2 linked regions of the Lonchura striata genome follow. The protein of the gene in region 1 interacts with the protein of each later gene in a pairwise test. Links are inferred from orthologs where the notes say so. Each region holds a gene or a part of one and is shown in the gene's direction. Other genes may lie near its edges.

What was found.
Region 2: the proteins of DRAP1 (region 1) and POLE3 interact in binary tests that used the Homo sapiens proteins (3 or more experiments, as listed by UniProt). The two-hybrid records come from large-scale screens. The link is inferred for Lonchura striata from reciprocal best matches to the Homo sapiens genes DRAP1 and POLE3.

Annotation. Positions count from the first base shown.
Region 1 is NC_134638.1:273,951-284,063, reverse strand, and holds the start of DRAP1 (dr1-associated corepressor), read left to right. Parts: upstream 1-5,563; 5' UTR 5,564-5,641; coding exon 5,642-5,683; intron 5,684-6,393; coding exon 6,394-6,466; intron 6,467-6,991; coding exon 6,992-7,085; intron 7,086-7,752; coding exon 7,753-7,872; intron 7,873-8,736; coding exon 8,737-8,824; intron 8,825-9,260; coding exon 9,261-9,340; intron 9,341-10,011; coding exon 10,012-10,113. UniProt on the Homo sapiens protein: The association of the DR1/DRAP1 heterodimer with TBP results in a functional repression of both activated and basal transcription of class II genes.
Region 2 is NC_134624.1:4,746,642-4,757,003, reverse strand, and holds POLE3 (DNA polymerase epsilon subunit 3), read left to right. Parts: upstream 1-5,578; 5' UTR 5,579-5,620; intron 5,621-5,822; exon of another isoform or gene 5,823-5,845; intron 5,846-6,010; 5' UTR 6,011-6,020; coding exon 6,021-6,086; intron 6,087-6,677; coding exon 6,678-6,763; intron 6,764-7,446; coding exon 7,447-7,565; intron 7,566-8,036; coding exon 8,037-8,197; 3' UTR 8,198-8,299; downstream 8,300-10,362. Other genes in the region: regulator of G-protein signaling 3-like, read right to left, coding at 790-903. UniProt on the Homo sapiens protein: Accessory component of the DNA polymerase epsilon complex. Participates in DNA repair and in chromosomal DNA replication.

The DNA of each region.
Region 1 (10,113 bases):
CCCAAAATCCAGGTGGAGCCCTGAGCCAGCCCAGTTTTGGGGGCAGTTTCCAGAATTTGGGGATCCAGTGCGTGAAGAAGCGGGAGCTGGAGGCGGCCGTGGCCGAGCGGATCCGCACCAACAACAACCCCTTCAACGGTACTGGGAGCACTGGGAGAGACTGGGAGGGACTGGGAGGGAACTGGGGGGAACTGGGAGGGAACTGGGAGGGAACTGGGGGGGAACTGGGAGGGACTGGGAGGGACTGGGAGGGAACTGGGGGGGAACTGGGAGGGACTGGGAGGGAACTGGGGGGAACTGGGAGGGAACTGGGAGGGACTGGGAGGGACTGGGAGGGAACTGGGGGGAACTGGGAGGGAACTGGGAAGGACTGGGAGGGAACTGGGAGCGATTGGGAGGGAACTGGGAGTGACTGGGAGGGACTGGGAGGGACTGGGAGGGAACTGGGGGGGAACTGGGAAGGACTGGGAGGGAACTGGGAGCGATTGGGAGGGAACTGGGAGTGACTGGGAGGGACTGGGAGGGAACTGGGAGCAACTGGGAGGGAACTGGGAGGGACTGGGAGGGAACTGGGAGGGACTGGGAGTTACTGGGAGGGAACTGGGAGTGATTGGGTATTACTGGGAGGTCACTGAGGACAGTGCTGGGGGCGTCACTGGTCTGTACTGGTCTGTACTGGGCAGTGCCAGGGGAGCAGCGCAGGGGCGAGTATGACCTGGGGGTGTCACTGGGGGTACCTGGGTATGTTAGTGGTTTGTACTGGTATATACTGGTCTATACTGGTTTACACTGGTCTGTACTGGTCTGTACTGGTTTATACTGGTCTGTACTGGTTTATACCGGTTCTCACTGGTCTGCACCGGGCAGTGCCGGCGGAGCAGCGCGGGGGCGAGTACGACCTGGCCGCGGTCCGGCTCTGCTTCCAGGTGTGGGTGAGGGGCCCGGGGGGGCTGCAGCCCCTCCCCCCCGTCCTGTCCCAGCCCATCTACGACAACCGTGAGTGGGACACGGGGACACGGGGACAGCTGGGGACACCTGGGACACCTGGGGACACCTGAGTGACACCTGGGACACCGGGGGGACATTGGGGACACCTGGGGGACATTGGGGACAGCTGAGGGACACCAGGGGACAGCTGGGGACACTGGGGACACCTGGGGGACATCCCTGAGACCCATGTGGGACATCCCTGGGACGTCCCTGGGACACCCAAGGGACACCTGGGGACACCCGAGGGTGGCCCGGGACCCACGGCGGCCCCGCGCTGTCCCCAGGTGCCCCCAGCACGGCCGAGCTCCGGATCTGCCGCGTGAACCGCAACTCCGGGAGCTGCCGGGGCGGGGACGAGATCTTCCTGCTGTGTGACAAGGTCCAGAAAGGTCAGGGGGCACCCCGGGATGGGGACAGCCCGAAACGGGGCACCCCAAAAACGGGGCACCCTGAAAACGGGGCACCCTGAAAACGGGGACAGCCCGAAACGGGGCACCCCAAAAATGGGGCACCCCAAAAATGGGACAGCCGAAAAACGGGACACCCCAAACCCGGGACACCCCAAAGCTGGGACACCCCAAACCTCGGACACCCCAAAACCTGGGACACCCCAAAACCTGGGACACCCCAAAGCTGGGATGTCCCAAACAGGGCGATATCGGTGTCTGTGTCCCCCGGCTTTGTTCCTGTCGCTGTCACCTGTCCCTGTCCCCGTGTCCCTGTCCCTGTCCCCGTGTCCGTGTCCCTGTCCCCATCCCTGTGTCTCTGCCCCCATGTCCCTGTCCCCATGTCCGTGTCCCCGTGTCCCTGTGGTGTCCCCGGGGTGTCCCCAGCATGTCCCCATCCCCATGTCCATGTCCATGCCCATGTTCCTGTGTCCATGTCCCCATCCCTGTCCCCGTGTCCCTGTCCCTGCAGCGTCCCCGTGTCTCTGTCCCCATGTCCATGCCCATGTCCCCGTGTCCGTGTCCCCCGCGTGTCCCCACTGTGTCCCCGTGCCCGCAGAGGACATCGAGGTGCGTTTCTCGGCCGAGGGCTGGGAGGCCAAGGGCTCCTTCGCGCAGGCCGACGTTCACCGCCAGGTCGCCATCGTGTTCCGCACGCCGCCGTTCCGGGACCCCGCGCTGCGCGCGCCCGTCACCGTGCGCATGGAGCTGCAGCGGCCCTCGGACCGGCAGCGCAGCGCGCCGCTCGACTTCCGCTACCTGCCCCACCAGGGTGGGCTTCGGGGGGCTGCGGGGTGGTTTTGGGGGGCTGGGGGTGATCTGGGGTCCCTGGAGCTTCAGTTCCCATTGATTTCCTGTTCCTGCCCCACCAGGGTGGGCTTCGGGGGGCTGCGGGGTGGTTTTGGGGGGCTGGGGGTGATCTGGGGTCCCTGGAGCTTCAGTTCCCATTGATTTCCTGTTCCTGCCCCCACCAGGGTGGGCTTCGGGGGGCTGCGGGGTGGTTTTGGGGGGCTGGGGGTGATCTGGGGTCCCTGGAGCTTCAGTTCCCATTGATTTCCTGTTCCTGCCCCACCAGGGTGGGCTTCGGGGGGCTGCGGGGTGGTTTTGGGGGGCTGGGGGTGATCTGGGGTCCCTGGAGCTTCAGTTCCCATTGATTTCCTGTTCCTGCCCCACCAGGGTGGGCTTCGAGGGGCTGCGGGGTGGTTTTGGGGGGCTGGGGGTGATCCAGGGTTCCTCTGGGGCACTCCTGGGTCCCTTTGGGACATTCCCGGATCCCTGGAGCTGCAGCACCCCGGTGGAGTTCCACTGCCTGCCCCACCAGGGTGGGCTTCGGGGGGCTGCGGGGTGGTTTTGGGGGGCTGGGGTCCCTTTGGGGCATTCTCAGATCCCTGAATCCCATTGATTTCTATTCCTGCCCCAACAGGGTGACCCTGGGGGGGGTCTATGGGGTGCTGCGGGGTCTTTTTGGGGGGCTGGGGGTGATCCAGGGTCCCTTTTGGGTCACTCCGAGGTCCCGTTCTGGTTCTTTTTGGTTCCTTCTTGTCACCCTGGGACGCTGTGGGGTCTCCTGAGGTCACTGATGTGACTGGGAGGGGACTGGGGGTCACTGGGAGGTGACTCTGAGTGACTGGGATTAACTGGAAGGTGACAAGGAAGTCACTGGGGGGTCACTGGTGTAACTGGGAGCTCACTGGGAGCTCCCTGGTGTCACTGGTGTCACTGGTGTCACTGGTGCAGGGGACCTGCAGTGCATCGAGGAGAAGCGCAAGCGGACGCGGGAAACCTTCCGCTCCTTCATCCAGCGCAGCCCCCTGCCTGGTGGGGCTTGGGGGGCTTCGGGGGGCTTTGGGGGGATTGTTGGGGTCCCTGGGGGGTCTAAAGGGGAAATTGGGGGTCCTTGGGGGGAATCTGGGGGGGTTTGGGGCCCCTGGGGGAGTCTGGGGGGAGATTTGGGGAACCCTGGGGGGAGGCTTGGGGTCTCCGGGGGGGTGTAGAGGAGGAACTGGAGATCTTGGGGGGGCCTTGGGGGATTTGGGGACCCTGGGGGATTTGGGGTCCTTGGGGGTGGTCTCTGAGGAGGTTTTGGGGTCCTGGGGGGGTCTCGAGGGGGAAATGGGGGTCCCGTGGGGATGTTGGGGGGGATTTGGGGTCCTGGGGGGATCATTTGGGGTCCTGGGGAAGGGTCCAGGGGGGATTTGGGGTCCCTGGCGGGGGGTCCCTGACAGTGGGACCCCCATTTCCCCCCCCCAGCTCCGGCGTCCGGCGAGTCGCGGCCCCCCCGGCGCCTGGCGGTGCCCTCGAGACCCCCCCCGGCCCCCCAGAACCCCCCCAGTGCAGGTGAGGGGGACTGGGGCACTGGGAGGGACTGGGATGGAACTGGGAGGGACTGGGATGGAACTGGGAGGGATTGGGTGGGACTGGGATGGAACTGGGAGGAACTGGGGTGGGGGCAAAAGGGGAAAACATTGGGGGGGAATTGGGGAGGGTGGGGGGCAAGGAGGGAATTGGGGAGGGGGAAGTGGGGGAGGGGAGTGAATGGGGCCGGGGGCAATTTTGGGGGGAAGATGGCGGGAACTGGGGGGGGTCGAGCCCCTCCCTCACCCCTTCCCCTCCCCCCAGCTCCCTCCTTCTCCTTCGGGGGTCCCGGGGGGCTCCTGGGGGGCCCAGCCCCCCCCGAGCCGGAGCCTTTGGCCGAGGCGCTGCTGCAGCTGCAATTTGAGGAGGGGTCCCCCCAGCTCGGGGGGGGCGGCACGGCCCCCCCGCTGGATTTGGGGGCGCTTCTGGGGGGGGGGACTCCCCCTTCCCCGCCCTGGACCCCCTCAACGCCTGCGAGGTCCAGCGCCTGCTGGGCCCCCCCGAGCCCCCCCGAGCTTCGGGGACCCCTCCCCGGATTTCGGGGCGGGGGTTCCCGAGCCGCCCCCACCCCCCCCGGATTTCGGGGGCCCCCCCATGCTGATGTCGTACCCCGAGGCCATCGCCCGCCTGGTGCAGAGCCAGCCCCCGGGGGCGCCCCCCGAAATGGGGCTGGGGGCCGAGCTGGCCGGGGGTCCCGAGCTGGGGGGGCTGGGGGGGCCCGAGGAGTCGCTGCCCTCGCTGGGGGAGCTGGACTTGAGCACCTTCCTCAGCCAGTTCCCCTCCTCCTGACTGGGAGCCACTGGGAGGGCTTGAGGCTTTACTGGGTGTTACTGGGAGGGGTCCAGCGTTTATTTGTACTTACTGGGAGGCTTCTAGGGCTTACTGGGGGTCACTGGGAGGCTTCTAGGGTTTACTGGGAGGCTTCTAGGGCTTACTGGGAGGCACTGGGAGGCTTCTAGGGCTTACTGGGAGTCACTGGGAGGCTTCTAGAGGTTACTGAGAGGCTTCCAGGGGTTACTGGGAGGCTTCTAGGGTTTACTGGGAGGCTTCTAGGGGTTACTGGGAGGCTTCTAGGGGTTACTGGGAGGCACTGGGATGCTTCTAGGGCTTACTGGGAGGCATCTGAGGGTTGCAAGGGCTGACTGGGAGTTACTGGGAGGTTTCTAGTGTTTACTGGGAGGCTTTTAGGGCTTACTGGGAGTCACTGGGAGGCTGTTAGGGGTGACTGGGAGGTTACTGGGGGGCACGGAGAGGTTTCTAGGGGGTGCTGGGGCTTACTGGGAGTCACTGGGAGTTCTCTGCGGTTACTGGGACGCAACTGGGAGTCACTGGGGAATCTCTGCGGTTACTGGGAGGACGCCAAGTGCCGGCTGGGGGTCACTGGGAGCTACTGGGACACTCTTGCCGGGGTCACTGGGTGCCTTTTTGGGGGGTGCCCCCTTTGCCCCTCCCCCGGCATTAACCCCGCCCCCATCGAAGTGCCTGGGGGGGAGGGGAAAGCCCCGCCCCTCCCCCCTCCCCCCCCCGGGGGTCACCCCAATAAACGGTCCAAGGCCCGCGTGGTTTGATTGACAGCTGGGGGCGTGGTCATGGCGGCTGGGGGCGTGGTTTCCCATCCGGGGGGGCGTGGTTTCGCCTCCAGGGGGCGTGGCCAAACTGGCGCGGCCGCCGGCGGGGCGGGGCGCGCTTTTCTTGCGGGAAGGGGCGTGGCCTCGTCCCGGAAGGGGCGGGGCGGGGAGGCCGCGGCGGAGCCGAGCGGGGCCGGGGCCGGGGCCGGGGCCGGGCCGGGAGCGGCGGCAGCGGGGCCGGGCCGGAGCCTCCGCGATCCCGCCGGGGCCAGCGAGGCGGCCATGCCGAGCAAAAAGAAGAAATACAACGCGCGCTTCCCGCCGGTACCGGCTGAGGGGGGACGGGGGCGCCATGGCAACGGGGAGGGGGCGGTTACCATGGTAACGGGGGCGGGGGGGGCGCGGGGGTTACCGCGGCAACGGGCGGGGTCTCGGCGCCATGGCAACGGGGGCGGGGCCACGGGGGCGCCGTGGGAACGGGGAGGGGGCGGGGCTTGGGCGGGCGGGGCCGCGCGTGAGGGGCGGGGCCTGGGGTGGGCGGGGCCTGGGGTAGGTGGGGCTCAGGTGAGGATGGGGTCCTGCAGGTGAGGGGGTTCAGGTGAGGATGGGGTCCTGCAGGTGAGGGGGTTCAGGTGAGGATGGGGTCCTGCAGGTGAGGGGGTTCAGGTGACGGGGGGCTGTGCAGGTGAGGGGGGGCTGTGCAGGTGAGGGCGGGTTCAGGTGAGGATGGGGTCCTGCAGGTGAGGGGGGGCTGTGCAGGTGAGGGGGTTCAGGTGAGGGGGGGCTGTGCAGGTGAGGGGGGCTGTGCAGGTGAGGGGGTTCAGGTGAGGATGGGGTCCTGCAGGTGAGGGGGTTCAGGTGAGGGAGGGCTGTTCAGGTGATGGGGGCTCAGGTGAGGGCGGGTTCAGGTGAGGGCGGGGCTGTTCAGGTGAGGGGGTTCAGGTGAGGGGGGGCTGTGCAGGTGAGGGGGGCTCAGGTGAGGGGCGGCTGTGCAGGTGAGGTCGGGGCTCAGGTGAGCCGGGGCTCTGTGGCAGGCGCGGATCAAGAAGATCATGCAGACGGACGAGGAGATCGGGAAGGTGGCGGCCGCCGTGCCCGTCATCATCTGTATCCTCTGGCACACCTGGGCCCCGCCCTGGGACCCCGCCCTGCTCACCTGGGCACCCTGGGACCCCGCCCTGCACACCTGGGCACCCTGGGACCCCACCTGGGCACATCTTGGACCCTGCCCTGCTCACCTGGGCACCCTGAGACCCTGCCCTGCTCACCTGGGCCCCGCCCCAAGACCCCTCCCTGCTCACCTGGGCACATCTTGGACCCCGCCCTGAACACCTGGGCCCCGCCCCAGGACCCCTCCCTGCTCACCTGGGCACCTCTGGGACCCCTCCCTGCTCACCTGGGCACCTCAGGGACCCCACCCTGTGTACCTGGGCACCTCTGGGACCCCGCCCTGCTCACCTGGGCACCTCAGGGACCCCACCCTGCTCACCTGGGCTCCCCCGCCTTGCACAGCCCGGCCCCCCAGGTGCCCCTACCTGTGCCAGCTGAGGCTGCCCGTGCTGGGGGGCGCTGGGAGGGTTCACCTGCACCCGCGGGTGCCACCTGCGTACCTGGCCGTCCTTAGCGTGGCAGCGCGGGCGCTGGAGCTGTTCCTGGAGTCGCTGCTGCGCAAGGCGTGCCACGTCACGCAGTCCCGCAACGCCAAGACCATGACGACGTCCCACCTGTGAGTGCCCAGTGCCACACCTGTTCCCCCGTCCCACCTGTCCCCAATGTCCCCAGTGTCCCACCTGTGAGTGCCCAGTGTCACACCTGTCCCACCTGTGAGTGCCCAGTGTCACACCTGTCCCCCCGTCCCACCTGTCTCCACCTGTCCCACCTGTCCCACCTGTTCCCCCGTCCCACCTGTCCCCAGTGTCTCCAGTGTCCCACCTGTGAGTGCCCAGTGTCACACCTGTCCCCCGTCCCACCTGTCCCCAATGTCCCCAGTGTCCCACCTGTGAGTGCCCAGTGTCACACCTGTCCCCCCATCCCACCTGTCCCCAGTGTCTCCAGTGTCCCACCTGTGAGTGCCCAGTGTCACACCTGTCCCCCCGTCCCACCTGTCCCCAATGTCCCCCCTCTCCCACCTGTCCCCACCTGGCTCACCTGTCCCCACCTGTCCCACCTGTCCCCACCTGTCCCCAATGTCCCACCTGTCCCCACCTGCCTGGGACACCTCTGGGAGGTGGGGAAGGGTCCCTGACACACCTGAGGCCCCTTTTGGGGCTGGGTGTGGCCTGTCCCAGGTGTGATGGGCGTGGCCAGGTGGGTGTGGTCTGTCCCAGGTGTGGTGGGCGTGGTTGGGTGGGCGTGGTCGGGCGGGTGGGCGTGGTCTGAGGCCCCGCCCACAGGAAGCAGTGCATCGAGCTGGAGCAGCAGTTCGACTTCCTCAAGGACCTGGTGGCCGCCGTGCCCGACATGCAGGGGGACGGCGACGACCCCCACGGCGACGGCGAGCGGGGACCCCGCAGGTGGGGCACACCTGGGACACGCCCCGATACCTGGGGGGCACCCGGGGACACCTGGGGGACAGCCCTGGGAAACCTGAGGGATATCTGGGGACACCCCTGGACACCTCGGGGACACCTGGGGACACCTCTGGACACCTGGGGGACACCCCTGGATATCTTGGGGACACCCCTGGATACCTGGGGGACACCTGGGGACACCTGGGGACACCCCTGGATATCTTGGGGACACCTGTGGACACCTGGGGGACACCTGCGGACACCTGGGGACACCCCTGGACACCTTGGGGACACCCCTGGATATCTGGGGGACACCCCTGGACACCTGGGGGACACCTGGGGACACCCCTGGACACCTTGGGGACACCCCTGGATACCTGGGGGACACCTGGGGACACCCCGGGGACACCCCTGGACACCTGGGGGACACCCCTGGATATCTGGGGGACACCCCTGGACACCTGGGGGACACCTGGGGACACCCCTGGACACCTTGGGGACACCCCTGGATACCTGGGGGACACCTGGGGACACCCCTGGACACCCCGGGGACACCCCTGGACACCTGGGGGACACCCCTGGATATCTTGGGGACACCCCTGGATACCTGGGGGACACCTGGGGACACCCCTGGACCCCTTGGGGACACTTGTGGCAGAGCTGGGGACCACCCGGGGATATTTGGGGACACCCCTGGACACCTGGGGCGGGGGGTCCTGGGGTACCTGGGGGCACCTTGGCACACCTGAGGTCCCTGACGGGGGCGTTAGGAGGGATTTTGGGGTGCAGGCTGGGATTTGGGGCAGTTTTGGGGGCAGGGGTCTCTAATTTTGGGGGGTCTCTAATTAGGGGGGGGGTCTCTTTCAGGGGGCGCCGCCCGGGCAGTGGCCGCAAGAACGGGGGTCCCGGGGCCAAGGGGACCCCAAAACAGTCGGGGACAGACTCGGAGCAGGAGGTGGGGGGGTTTTGGGGGGTCCCAGAGGGGTTTTGGGGGTCCCGGGGGGATTTTGGGGGTCCCGGGTGGATTTTGGGGGTCCCGGGGGTGTTTTGGTGGGTCCTGGGGCCAAGGGACATTTGGGAACGAACCCAGAGCTGGAGGTGGGGGGGGGTTTGGGGGGTTTTGGGGACACCTGGACCCTTGAGTTTCCTTTGGGGGGACCCTGGGGGATTTTGGGGGTCCCCCCTGAAGGGGATTGGCCGTTCCTGGTTGTGGGGTCACTGCTGGGGGGGTGGATTTGGGGGGGTCCCGGGTGGATTTGGGGTTTCCGGGACCCCTCTGGGGAGGGGTTTTGGGGGTCCCTGGGCGTGGGGAGGTTTGGGGTCCCCGGGGAGGGTTTGGGGTCCCCGGGGTGGGTTTGGGGTCCCCTCATTGTCCCCCCGTGTCCCCCCAGGAGGAGTCTGAGGACAGCGACAGCGACGGGGACGAGGAGACCCCCCCTCAGCCCCCCCCGGCCCCGCTCCCCTTCGCCAGGTGGGGCTGGGGGGGCAGAGAGCACCGGGGGCGTTTTTGGGGTGGTCCCGACAACACCTGGGCCGTTTTTGGGTTGTTTTGGGGGGATTTTGGGGTGTTCCCCCCTCCCTGAGTCCTGGGGGGGGTTGGGTGGATCGGGGGTGTCCCCCCCGTGTCTCTGGGGGTTTTTTTGGGGGCGTTTTTGGGTTTTTTTGGGGGGCTTTGGGGTGTTCCCCCCTCCCTGAGTCCCTGGAGCGGGGTTTGGGTGGATCGGGGGTGTCCCCCCCGTGTCTCTGGGGGGGGTTTGGGGGGATTTGGGTTTTTTTGGGGGGCTTTGGGGTGTTCCCCCCTCCCTGAGTCCCTGGGGGGTTTGGGTGGATCGGGGGTGTCCCCCCCGTGTCTCTGGGGGGGGGTTTGGGGGGATTTGGGGTTTTTTTGGGGTTGTTTTGGGGTTTCCCCTCCCTGAGTCCCTGGGGGGGGGTTGGGTGGATCGGGGTTGCCCCCCCCGTGTCTCTAGGGGTTTTTTGGGGGCGTTTTTGGTTTTTTTGGGGGGCTTTGGGGTGTTCCCCCTCCCTGAGTCCCTGGGGGGGTTTGGGTGGATCGGAGCTGCCCCCCCCGTGTCTCTGGGGGGGATTTGGGGGATTTGGGGTTTTTTGGGGGGTTTCCCCCTTCACTGACGCCTCTTCCCGCAGCCCCGGGGTCCCCTTCGCCCCCTGGGCCCCCCAGCCTCCCGGGGGGCTCCCGGGGGGGCTCCCCCCGGCCCCCGGCCCCCCCCGCGCCCGCGAGGAAGAGGA
Region 2 (10,362 bases), on another chromosome or scaffold:
ATTGAAGAAAATAAAAGCAGATCCATTGGGTCAGACAAAGCTCCTGTTCCATGTCAGAAGGTGATGCCCAGGGGAGAACACAACAACAGAGCAGGCATGAGACATTTTCCAAAATAGCTGCCTGTGGCCAGCACATTTCTCTCCCTCTCAGGATTTTTCATAGAGGAGCACAGAGAGAAATGAAAGAGAAAACAATTTCTGTTTCTGCTCCTTGTTTTTCCTATGTGGAATGTGTTTGGAGAATTGTTTACCTGGGGTGGTTGCTTGGTTGGATTCTGGTGAGGATTGTTTGAACCTGATGACAAATCCAACCCAGCTGGGGCTGGGCTCTCAGAGAGGGTCACGAGTTGTGTTAGAGTCAGAGAAAGTAGTATGTAGCTTTAGTACCCTCCTTTTATATAGCATATTAATGTATTTTAGCACAGTTATAATAAAGAAATCATTCAGCCTTCTGAATTGAGTCAGACATCGTCACTTCTTCCCATTGGGTTTGCCTGCATTTACAATAGCTGCCCAGCCCCAAACATTTTCAATTCAAGGACTTTCTATTGCTGCAGAGTCAACTTTAATGTACATTTGGTAGACATAGGAGGAGTTGGATCTCATTTGTGTAGTGGCACACCATTAGCCCAGCCTTACTGGGGCACCTTTAAGCCACCTCTGTGGATTAATTGGTGTTCTGGATCAATTAGCTGAGCACAGCTTGATTATTGCCCATATTGTTTAAGCAGGATCCCATTAGCCATGATCAGGAAGGCATTCCCTTCCCTGGGAGCTGAGACCACTCACTCTCCCCATGTTATTCCAGAGCACCAGGGCCATCTGTCCAGGTGAGGGGATGTCTGACCCTGCTGCAGAGCTCAGCTCTGGCTGGAGCACGGCAAAAACAGGAGCAAGATTCATGGTGCCACAAACCTGAATGAACACCAGGAGAGGTGACACAGAGGTTACCCTACAGCTTTCCTTCCCAAAGCACTTTCCAAAGGGAATAACAAAGTTACAGTTAATGCAATAGTCCGTCCATGTGGCTGAAAATAGCTCCTGACCTGGTACACAGGATTTGTCCAAGTCTCTGTCTTAGGTCACATAGGAAAGTCCACTCAATCAGCAGAATTTTAGGCTGGCGCTTTTTTGACAGTTAAAACTGCTGAATTCGTTTATGGCTAAAAAAAGAATGCCAGGAAGATATTTTGAAAGTGCTGCCTCGGAGGCCTCCATCAGAGGTGAGCTAAACTTAGAGGGCCTGAGGTAGGAAGAGAAGTGTGTGAGTGACACCTCCAAGGGACAGCTCCATCCTCTGGGGACCAGGCTCCTGCCTGCAGTGCCTGGCCTGTCTTTAGGGGGAGGAAAAATGGAATCATTCCAGGCACCAGCTCTCAGTTAGAGGCCTGATGCCCTTAAAAATTTAGAGATTAAAATGACCAAGTGAAGCTTATTTTTAAAAAGGATGCTGTTGAGTCTTTCACATTCATTCTTCTTCCATGGCCAAAAGGAAAAAAAACTTTAAAAAACAGAGCAATCGTGGACAGTCTCTCAAGGAAATTTAAATTGGTAAGTGCAAACCATCCAACAACAGTTTGGGATGTGTCTCTGTCTTCATCCAACACCAGTTTGAGATGTGTTCCTGCCTTCATCCAACACCAGTTTGGGATGTGTCCCTGTGTCTCATCCCTCATCCAACACCAGTTTGGGATGTGTCCCTGTGTCTCATCCCTCATCCAAAACAGTTTGGGATGTGTCCCTGTGTCTCATCCAGCACCAGTCTGGGATGTGTTCCTGTGTCCTCGCCTCCTGCCTTGTGACCACTGGGTCTCTTGCTGTTTGTTTTGAGTCCCCTGAGCGCTGCCCTGTCCCCTGAGTCACCCAGAGCCGGGTGGATCCGTTCAGCACTAGGAGGGGGAGAGGTGTGAAGTGACTCACGGGGATAGGAACGCACTGAACGCTTCTCAGGCTCAAGACCTCACAGTTAATCCTGCAACCCCACAACATTCAGAGCAGAGCCAGGGAGTGCCCAGAGGGAAGGGTTTGCTGTTCAGAACTCCCCTGTGCACCACGTCCTGGCACACCTCATCCCTGATTCTACAGGAGCTGTTACTGCAACAACAGCCTCTTATTTACAGGACTTGGATGGCACCCATCCAAACAGGGCTTCAAGAGTGCTGGAAAAAATATAGGCGTTCCACAGTGACTGTTCTACATTGGAATAATCTGTATTTTTTGTATTAATATTTTTTTCTTTGGCCATGATGATGCTGAAGTGTCATTTTCACAGAAGTCAAGTGAGATTCAAGCCCCTCTGTACTAACAGTGGGTTCTGAGGAGTACAAACATTGCTGGGTAAGCTCTGTGCCTGCAGATAAACCTTAAATGTCACATTTTTGTGCAATGTTGTGAAAAACAAGCAGGCTAAAGGAGTGCCCACCCTCACTGCAGGCATAAAAATCACAGTGTTCATCTCCTGACTATCAGTACAGAGTCATCAAACAATCACAGAATGTGGAAGGGACCTTAAAGATCCTTTCATTCCATCCCTGCCATGGCAGGGACACCTCCCACTGTCCCAGGCTGCTCCCAGCCCTGTCCAGCCTGGCCTTGGGCACTGCCAGGGATCCAGGGGCAGCCACAGCTGCTCTGGGCACCCTGTGCCAGGGCCTGCCCACCCTGCCAGGGTGCTTTCTTAGTATCTAATTTAAAGCATTTAAATCTAAATCTGTTATAGCCTTTCCCTGAAGTACAGAAGGACCATATTGTCCTATGGTTTTTCTTTCCCTCTCAGGCTGAGCTGAGCTGCTGCTCCTCTGTCACTGTATTTATACCTGTGTACATGGAACAATATTTTTGTTGCAGTGTAAAATGTGACTCGCAGCAGTAAACTTGAGCACTGCATGCTCAACATCTTCCATGTTTTACACACGACAGCGAAACAAGACTAGGAAGCTGATTTAAAATAAAGGCTCTGGATTTACAGGATATAAGGCCAGGATAGCTGCCCCTGGATCCCTGGAAGTGTCCAAGGCCAGGCTGGACAGGGCTTGGAGCAACCTGGGACAGTGGAAGGTGTCCCTGTCCATGGAATGGGCTTTAATGTCCCTTCCTGGGACTCAATGTACCAATCTCCAGACATTGTAATTAAAAACAAACATAGACTCACACCAGGGACCAGGGAGGAGAGCCTGTTGTGTCCAGAAGACACACAGAGCTGGATGGTCCCAGCCCAGGCTTTGCTGCTGAATGGGGCAGCTTTGGGCCATATCCCTGGATTTGGGCAGCCCCATTCCTGGCTCTGCTCCATCCCACCCCTTCTCCAGGCAGTATCACACCACCAACTTGCTTGGTTCTCAATTCATGGACAAGAACACCTCATGCTCTATAACACAGAAGCCAAAATGAGCAGCAGGGGCTCCCAAGGGCTCCAAGAGCTCTGAGCCACCCCCCTGTCCAGGATCCGAGTCTATCATGGTCACTGTCACAGCAGCTCAGCCTGTCATGGTCACTGTCACAGCAGCTCAACCTGTCATGGTCACTGTCACAGCAGTTCAACCTGTCATGGTCACTGTCACAGCAGCTCAACCTGTCATGGTCACTGTCACAGCAGCTAGCCTGCCATGTGTGAATGCCCCCTCCCAATGGCAGCACTGCCACACCTGCCCAGGAACACCCAGCAGCCAGGGTTAACAACAGAGCACATGGAAAGGAGCTAAAACCAAAACTTACACATGATTTGTACAGCAGGGACGGAGTTTATTAATCCAGTCCCTGGAACTGGAACAGGGGCTCACACGGGCCTGGCCCAGGTGTACTCAGGGTGTGCTTCTCCCAGCACAGCACAGTTACCTTCACCTGTGCTCACAAATCTCTGCCCACTCTCCCCACAACAGAAACACTGCCCTTGGTAACAGGAAATTCCCATTTTCCATGGAAAAGAGCCGCACTGTCAATCACTGCTCACAATTTCAAATATCACCACAGCACCTAATTAATGTGCTTTCTTGCACTCTGAGCTTGCTTAATTACCTGGTCAGGTTACCAACAGGGATAAAGTCTCATGGAATTACAGGGTTTAGGCCAGGCATGGAGCCAGTGGGGCAGGGATGGAGAAGCTCACAGCCCTGTGCCCTCACACAGCCACAAGGGAAGAGGCCAGAACCCAGTGTGGGGAAAACAGCTGTTATTTCCTGTTGGAAATTATGTAACTCTCTTAATTGTTTTAATTAATTGCAACCAGTGCCCACATTCAGATAGCACTAGTTAACTTTCTTCACAGGCTCTTACAATTACTTTGATCACTAAATAACCAAAACCTCAGATTTGCTACAAGTAACTCAGCCAAGCTTCAATAAACAAAGCCAAAGGGAGTTGGAGATTGGACATCTGGGATCTTAAATTTATGACCCTTCAAGTGTGTTGGAGTAAGCAAAAAATGCAGAGGAGATTAAGGCATGGAAAGTTGGAGATTCCCTGACTGGGAAAAAGATTATAAAAGTAATAAAGTATGTGGACCAGATTAGTGTGAAGAGTGAGAAATTAACAACCAAGAGCAGATAGAACACTAAGTAATAAAGAGAATTATGTAACCTAGAGCAAATGAACATGAATTGGTTTGCTAAAAATGTACAAATAAGTGAAAAAGTTTTGTATCTGTGTTAGTGCAGATGCTGGAGCTTTGTCAGCTACACACATTCTTGGCTAAGGATACAGAAATGCCTGACTCGCTAAGAGTGTCACACTGCCTTAGAGGGAGCCTTACTGATCCCAAGGGCTTTGGGGGATCTTGGGAACATTCCCAGAGGCAGCAGCTCTGCCCCAGGGCTGCCCCAGCTCCCCCTGTGCCTGGCCCTGCTCGCAGCCCCCAGTAACGGCAGTGTGACCACCTGGACCTACAGGTGAACCTGTCCCTGTGCATTCACCTGAACCTTCACCTACAGCTGAACTTGTACCTGCACCGTCCCCTGCACGTGAATCTGTCCCTGAATCATGCCCTGCACCTGAACCTGTCCCATCACCTGAACCTGTCCCATCACCCACATATGAACCTGTCCCTGCACCATCCCCTGCACCTGAACTTGTCCCATCACTGCACCTGAACCTGTCCCTGCATCATCCCCTGCACCTGAACCTGTCCCTGAAACATCCCCTGCACCTGAACCTGTCCCACCACTTACCAATGAACCTGTCCCTTCACCCACAGATGAATCCGTCCGTGCACCATCCCCTGCACCTGTCCCTGTGCCTTCACCTGAATCTTCATCTATACCTGAACCCATCCCCTCACCTACACCCGAACCCATCCCAGTCCCTTCAGCTACACCTCTCCCTTCACCTACACCTGAACCTGTCCTCACATTATCACCTACACCTGATCCCATCCCCTCACCTACACCCAAACCCATCCCAGTCCCTTCACCTACATCTGTCCCCGTCCCATCACCTGCACTTGTCCCTACACTTGCACCTACACCTATGCATGCATACATACACCTACAGCCACGCCTGCCCTTTTCCCGTTCCTACGCCTGCCTCTTCTCGCTGTCCCTTGCCTGTCCCCGCCGTCCCTCAGGCCGCGCCGCCATTTCCCGCCGCGGTGCGCGCCGGGAGCGGGCGGGGCGGCGAGCGCGGCTGGGTACGGGCGGGCCGGGCGGCTGAGGGGCCGAGGGGGCCCGTGTGCTGAGGGGCCGAGAGGGGCCGAGAGGGGCCGAGGGGGACCGTGAGGGGTCCGTGTGCTGAGGGGCCGAGAGGGGCCGTGAGGGGTCCGTGTGCTGAGGGGTCGTGAGGGGTCCGTGTGCTGAGGGGCCGTGAGGAGTCGTGAGGGATCCGTGTGCTGAGGGGCCGAGAGGGGCCGTGAGGGGTCCGTGTGCTGAGGGGCCGTGAGGAGTCGTGAGGGATCCGTGTGCTGAGGGGCCGTGAGGGGCCCGTGTGCTGAGGGGCCGTGAGGGGTCCGTGTGCTGAGGGATCCCCCGTCCCGCGGGATCCCGCCCAGCCCCGCGCCCCTGACGCCGCGTTTGCCTTGCAGGAGGCCCAGGATGGCGGAGAGACCGGAGGACCTGAACCTGCCCAACGCCGTCATCACCCGCATCATCAAGGAGGCGGTGGGTGCCGGGCCCCGCGGGGCCCCGGCCCGCGGGCTCTGCCCTGCGCTGTCCCGCTCGGGTACCGGGGCTGCAGCGCTCGCTGCAGCTCCCGAGCCATGCAGCTGCACCGCTGCAGCGTCCCGAGCCACGCGGCTGCACCGCTGCAGCTCGGCAGCAGCGCAGTTCCCGCAGTGGCACTGTGAGAACCAGGCCCCCTGAAACTTCAGCACACGAGTCCATGTCTATATAAAAATCCAGAATAATTCGCTGGGGTTGATTGAGCGCGTTTGCTCTGGAGCTGTGAGGGTTGCCGAGTGGATCTGGGCCTGGCGGGCGTGTCTGGAGCTGGGCAGGCACAGGATGAGTTACCTGAGACAGTGGCCAGACCCCAAACGCCGGAGTCATTGGGCTTGTGCTCAGCTCTGTGCCTTCGAGGGACACATTCCTACTGCCCTTGGCTTCCAGCTGGAAGCAGAGCTCCTGCGACAGCACCCCAGAGCAGTTCCCAGTTCTTCTGAGCCCTCTGAGTGTTTTAACAAACTGACACTTCAATTATGGAGTTTAAGTCGTTTTTAGCAGCTGCTGATAAAAGTTGGATTTGTTTTTCAGCTTCCTGAGGGAGTCAATATTTCCAAAGAAGCCCGGAGCGCGATCTCCCGAGCAGCAAGTGTGTTTGTGCTGTATGCAACATCATGGTAAGGACTTGGTGCAGCAGTCACTGGGGCACTTGATTGATAATTCATTTCTGCTGGCCTGGGGACTCTCTCCCAGTGTTGGTTTTCTGTTTTGCCTGTTTATATAAATAAACTAGTCTGCAGCAGGTGGGTTTGGACTGCCCAGAGCAGCCCTTGGGAAGGTAGCTGGGCTCTGGACACAGCCATGTCCCAAAAAAGGGGGGTCCCCAAAAAGAGGGGTCCCAAATTGCCATTAACCTTAGAACGTGGCTGCACAGCCTTCCTGGCAAAGGCAGAGCGCTTGACTCATTTTCAGGCTCTTCATCATGAAGCTGTGTTGGGGCAAGAGCTGCCACAGAGGACACAGTCACGTTTTTGGGGTGGCTTGGCGTATTCTCTGCAGGCAGTCACTCCTCTAGTGTCAGGGGCTTCTATGGAACCCTAGCCCTTCTAGGGCTCTGTGGAACTGTCACAGCCAAGGCTCAGGCTTTCTCCTCCTGCTTGTAGAAAAGGTCTGTGCAGGCAGAAACTAACCCTGTGGGAAAGCACAGACATTGTAAATAAAAATGTCTCAAGCCTCCTTTAGTAAATGGTAAAGAAACCTAAATGTTTAGGGGATGGCTTTTTAAAGTTGCTTATGACTTCAGTAAACAAGATGAAATTGCCAACAGTCCTCAATTACCTCTCTTTTTGGTTCTGCCTAGTGCAAATAACTTTGCCATGAAGGGGAAGAGGAAAACCCTGAATGCTGGGGACGTGCTTTCTGCCATGGAGGAGATGGAGTTCCAGAGATTCGTGGCCCCTCTGAAGGAATCCCTGGAAGGTACTGTGCTCCGTGGGTGTCCAGGGACTCTGAGAGGCACCAAGTCCTGTTCTCCTCCAACGCTGGACAAGCAACACTTATTGCCTGTCTTGTTTCTCTTCTCTTTGCCCAGCATCCTACCTTGCAGTTTGCCTGGGGAGTAACTAATGTGCACCTTAACAGGACTGGGATAACATTCTTGCACAACTGATGAGGATTGAGAAAGTCTCATCTGCTCTCACTCCCCTATTATGTTTATCTAAGGAAAGCCGTAGGTGCTGCCTGTAAATGTGACCTGCGTCCTTTTCAGCATTTTTCTGCTGAAATTTAACCTGATTTCCTATGGAGCTGCTCAGCACAGCTCAGCTCGTAGGGTGAGTTGTGCTCTGAGTTCCCTGCTCCCCTCAAAGCCAGGAGAGCAAGTGGACGTTGGGCCTCAGCCACTGACCTGTCCATGCCAGCGCCAAGCCCTCACTGTTCCCTCTCCTCCAGTTTACAGGCGTGAGCAGAAAGGAAAGAAGGAGGCCAGGAAAGATAAAGACAAGAAGGCAGACTCGGAGGAACAAGATAAGAGCCGAGAGGAGGACAATGATGAGGATGATGAAAGGATGGAGGAGGAAGAACAAAACGATGAGGAAGAGGTGGATAACTGAGCTCGCTCGTGGGCAAGGGCTGGGGTGTGCTCAGAGGGATGTAAACGCTGTAAATCGACCGTGCTGCATCCCCTCGTGTATCCATTAGAGCTTTGTACTGCCCCTCTGTGGCCTGTACTTTGTAAAGGACTCGTGCTGAAGCTTTTTCCGTGGCAGGGTGGCTCCTCCCTGTGCCTGGGGGCCTTTGGCCCTCCCCAGGCTCTGGGCAGGCACTTCCGGGGCTTTTGATGCTGGGCTGGCTCTGAAAGAGAGGAAAAAAGAACTGGTGGGTGCTCAGTGCAGAAACTGGCCAGGAGAAAGACTCCTGATTTTGAGGGGCTGAATGCAGTAGATCATTCAGAGATCACTTCTGGGGTGTAGAATGTAGGTGATGATGTCCAGAGGCTTGGAAGCTGCACACTGAAGCTTTTGATCCAATTGAGTTGTTTTTTTCCCTTTGTTTCCTTGCATCCTGGCTGTGCCTTCTCTCCCTGCTGTACTGTGACAGTGACACTGTGTCCTCCAGCCTCAGCAGCAGCACAGGGTGGCTGTACAGTGACGAGTTCACTCACTGACTCACCCAAACTAACCCAAATCCGAAAAACACACAGTGATCTCGGGGTAAACGGTACACTGAAAGTGTCTTTGAGAGCCCTGAGAGACAAGGACGAGATTGACTTAAAATCTGAAGCACAAGGTGGGGGGTAAAATGGGGAGCAAGGCTGAAAACAGATGGCTTTGTGCAGTGCTGGGGGTGGGACAGGTCAGTGGTGGCACTGGGGTCTCGCCTGCCCCCCTGCAGCAGCAGCTCCTGCAGCAAGCTGAGATGTGCTAGAGCAGAATGGTGAATTGTGGTGGTTGTCTTTTCCACTCTTCCCAGCTGGGATGAGCTAATTCCACCCACGGTCCCTCTGTAGCCTTTGCTGGTCATTCCAGGGACACGGATGCCTCTGGGAGGGCAGCAGGGGCAGGGTGTGCCCACCCAGGGGGCCCATGTGGTTTCACAAAAGGCTCCTGCAAGAAGGAAGGCTTGAGAGAAGCTTTTGGTATCCCTTGTGTGAGTGTAGGTTTGTGCTTTTCTACTTGATCTCTTAGTTCTGATGCCTTTCTCCCCCAGAAAGTTTTGGATACATTTAAAACCCCCAGGTTTTGATGATGTGCAGTTTTAAAATGGCACTTGTGAGGAATCCTGGATCCTTTCCACCAACAAAATGGTGGCAGCTACCCACAAGAACCACCCTGCCTTCCTGCTGTCCTGGCACGCTGCATTTTCACACGCACACAAGCCCAGCCTCTGAAAAGAACTGAACCAACACAGATTTTCTGCTGTCTAGTTTCTGCTGGCATTCAGTCAGGCTGTGGAAAGCCTGAGCTGATGATGTGTTCCCCACCTTCCAGCTCTTTTCCTCTCTTTTTTTTTTTTTTTCCTTTCTCTTCAGCACATATCTGGGGTGTATATTCCAGAAGGGAATGAGATCTAAATAAAAGCCAGATTTTTTTTTTTTTTACAGAAATGGGAGTCTCGTATTTCAGTCAGTTATAAAATGAGCAGGTTGTGGTTGCATAAGTGGGATGGGAGCAGTAGTTTCTGGAGCAGCTGACATGGAGGAGGATGAGGGGAGGATGAAGGCTGCTGCAGCCTGGCCTCCGTGCGAGAGGAGGGGGGGACTATGGAACGAAGGAGGGGATTTCCAGGTCACTGATGTTTGCTGGGGGAAGGAGCTATCAGCTCCCCCTCGCTCCAGGCAGAGGTTCCCGGCTGGGGGGAGGGTCCAGGATCTGGATCCAGGGTTTCTGCACCGGAGCAAGCCAGGGAATGATGCTTTGGTGGGGGAGCTGCAGAATGTCCTGCACTAAATCTGATCCAGGCATCTCCCCTGCTCTGAGAGACCAGGGCAGGGGGCTGGGCTTCCTTGGGCTGGGCAGGCCCCCAGCACCCCAAAACCCAGCTCCAGGTGCCTCTGCAGCACCCCAAACCCTGCTCCACACCACCACAGCCTCTCAGCCATGCTCCTTAAACCAAACACTGCAGCACTCCAAACCCTCACAGCGCCCAATGCCTGTCACAGCCACTCTGGAATCCTGAAACCTGGCTCCAGGTCCTCCCACAGCACCCTGGAACTGGACTGCATAGGCCTCCAGCACCCTAAAACCCTGCTCCATGCCTCCCTCAGCACCCCAAAACC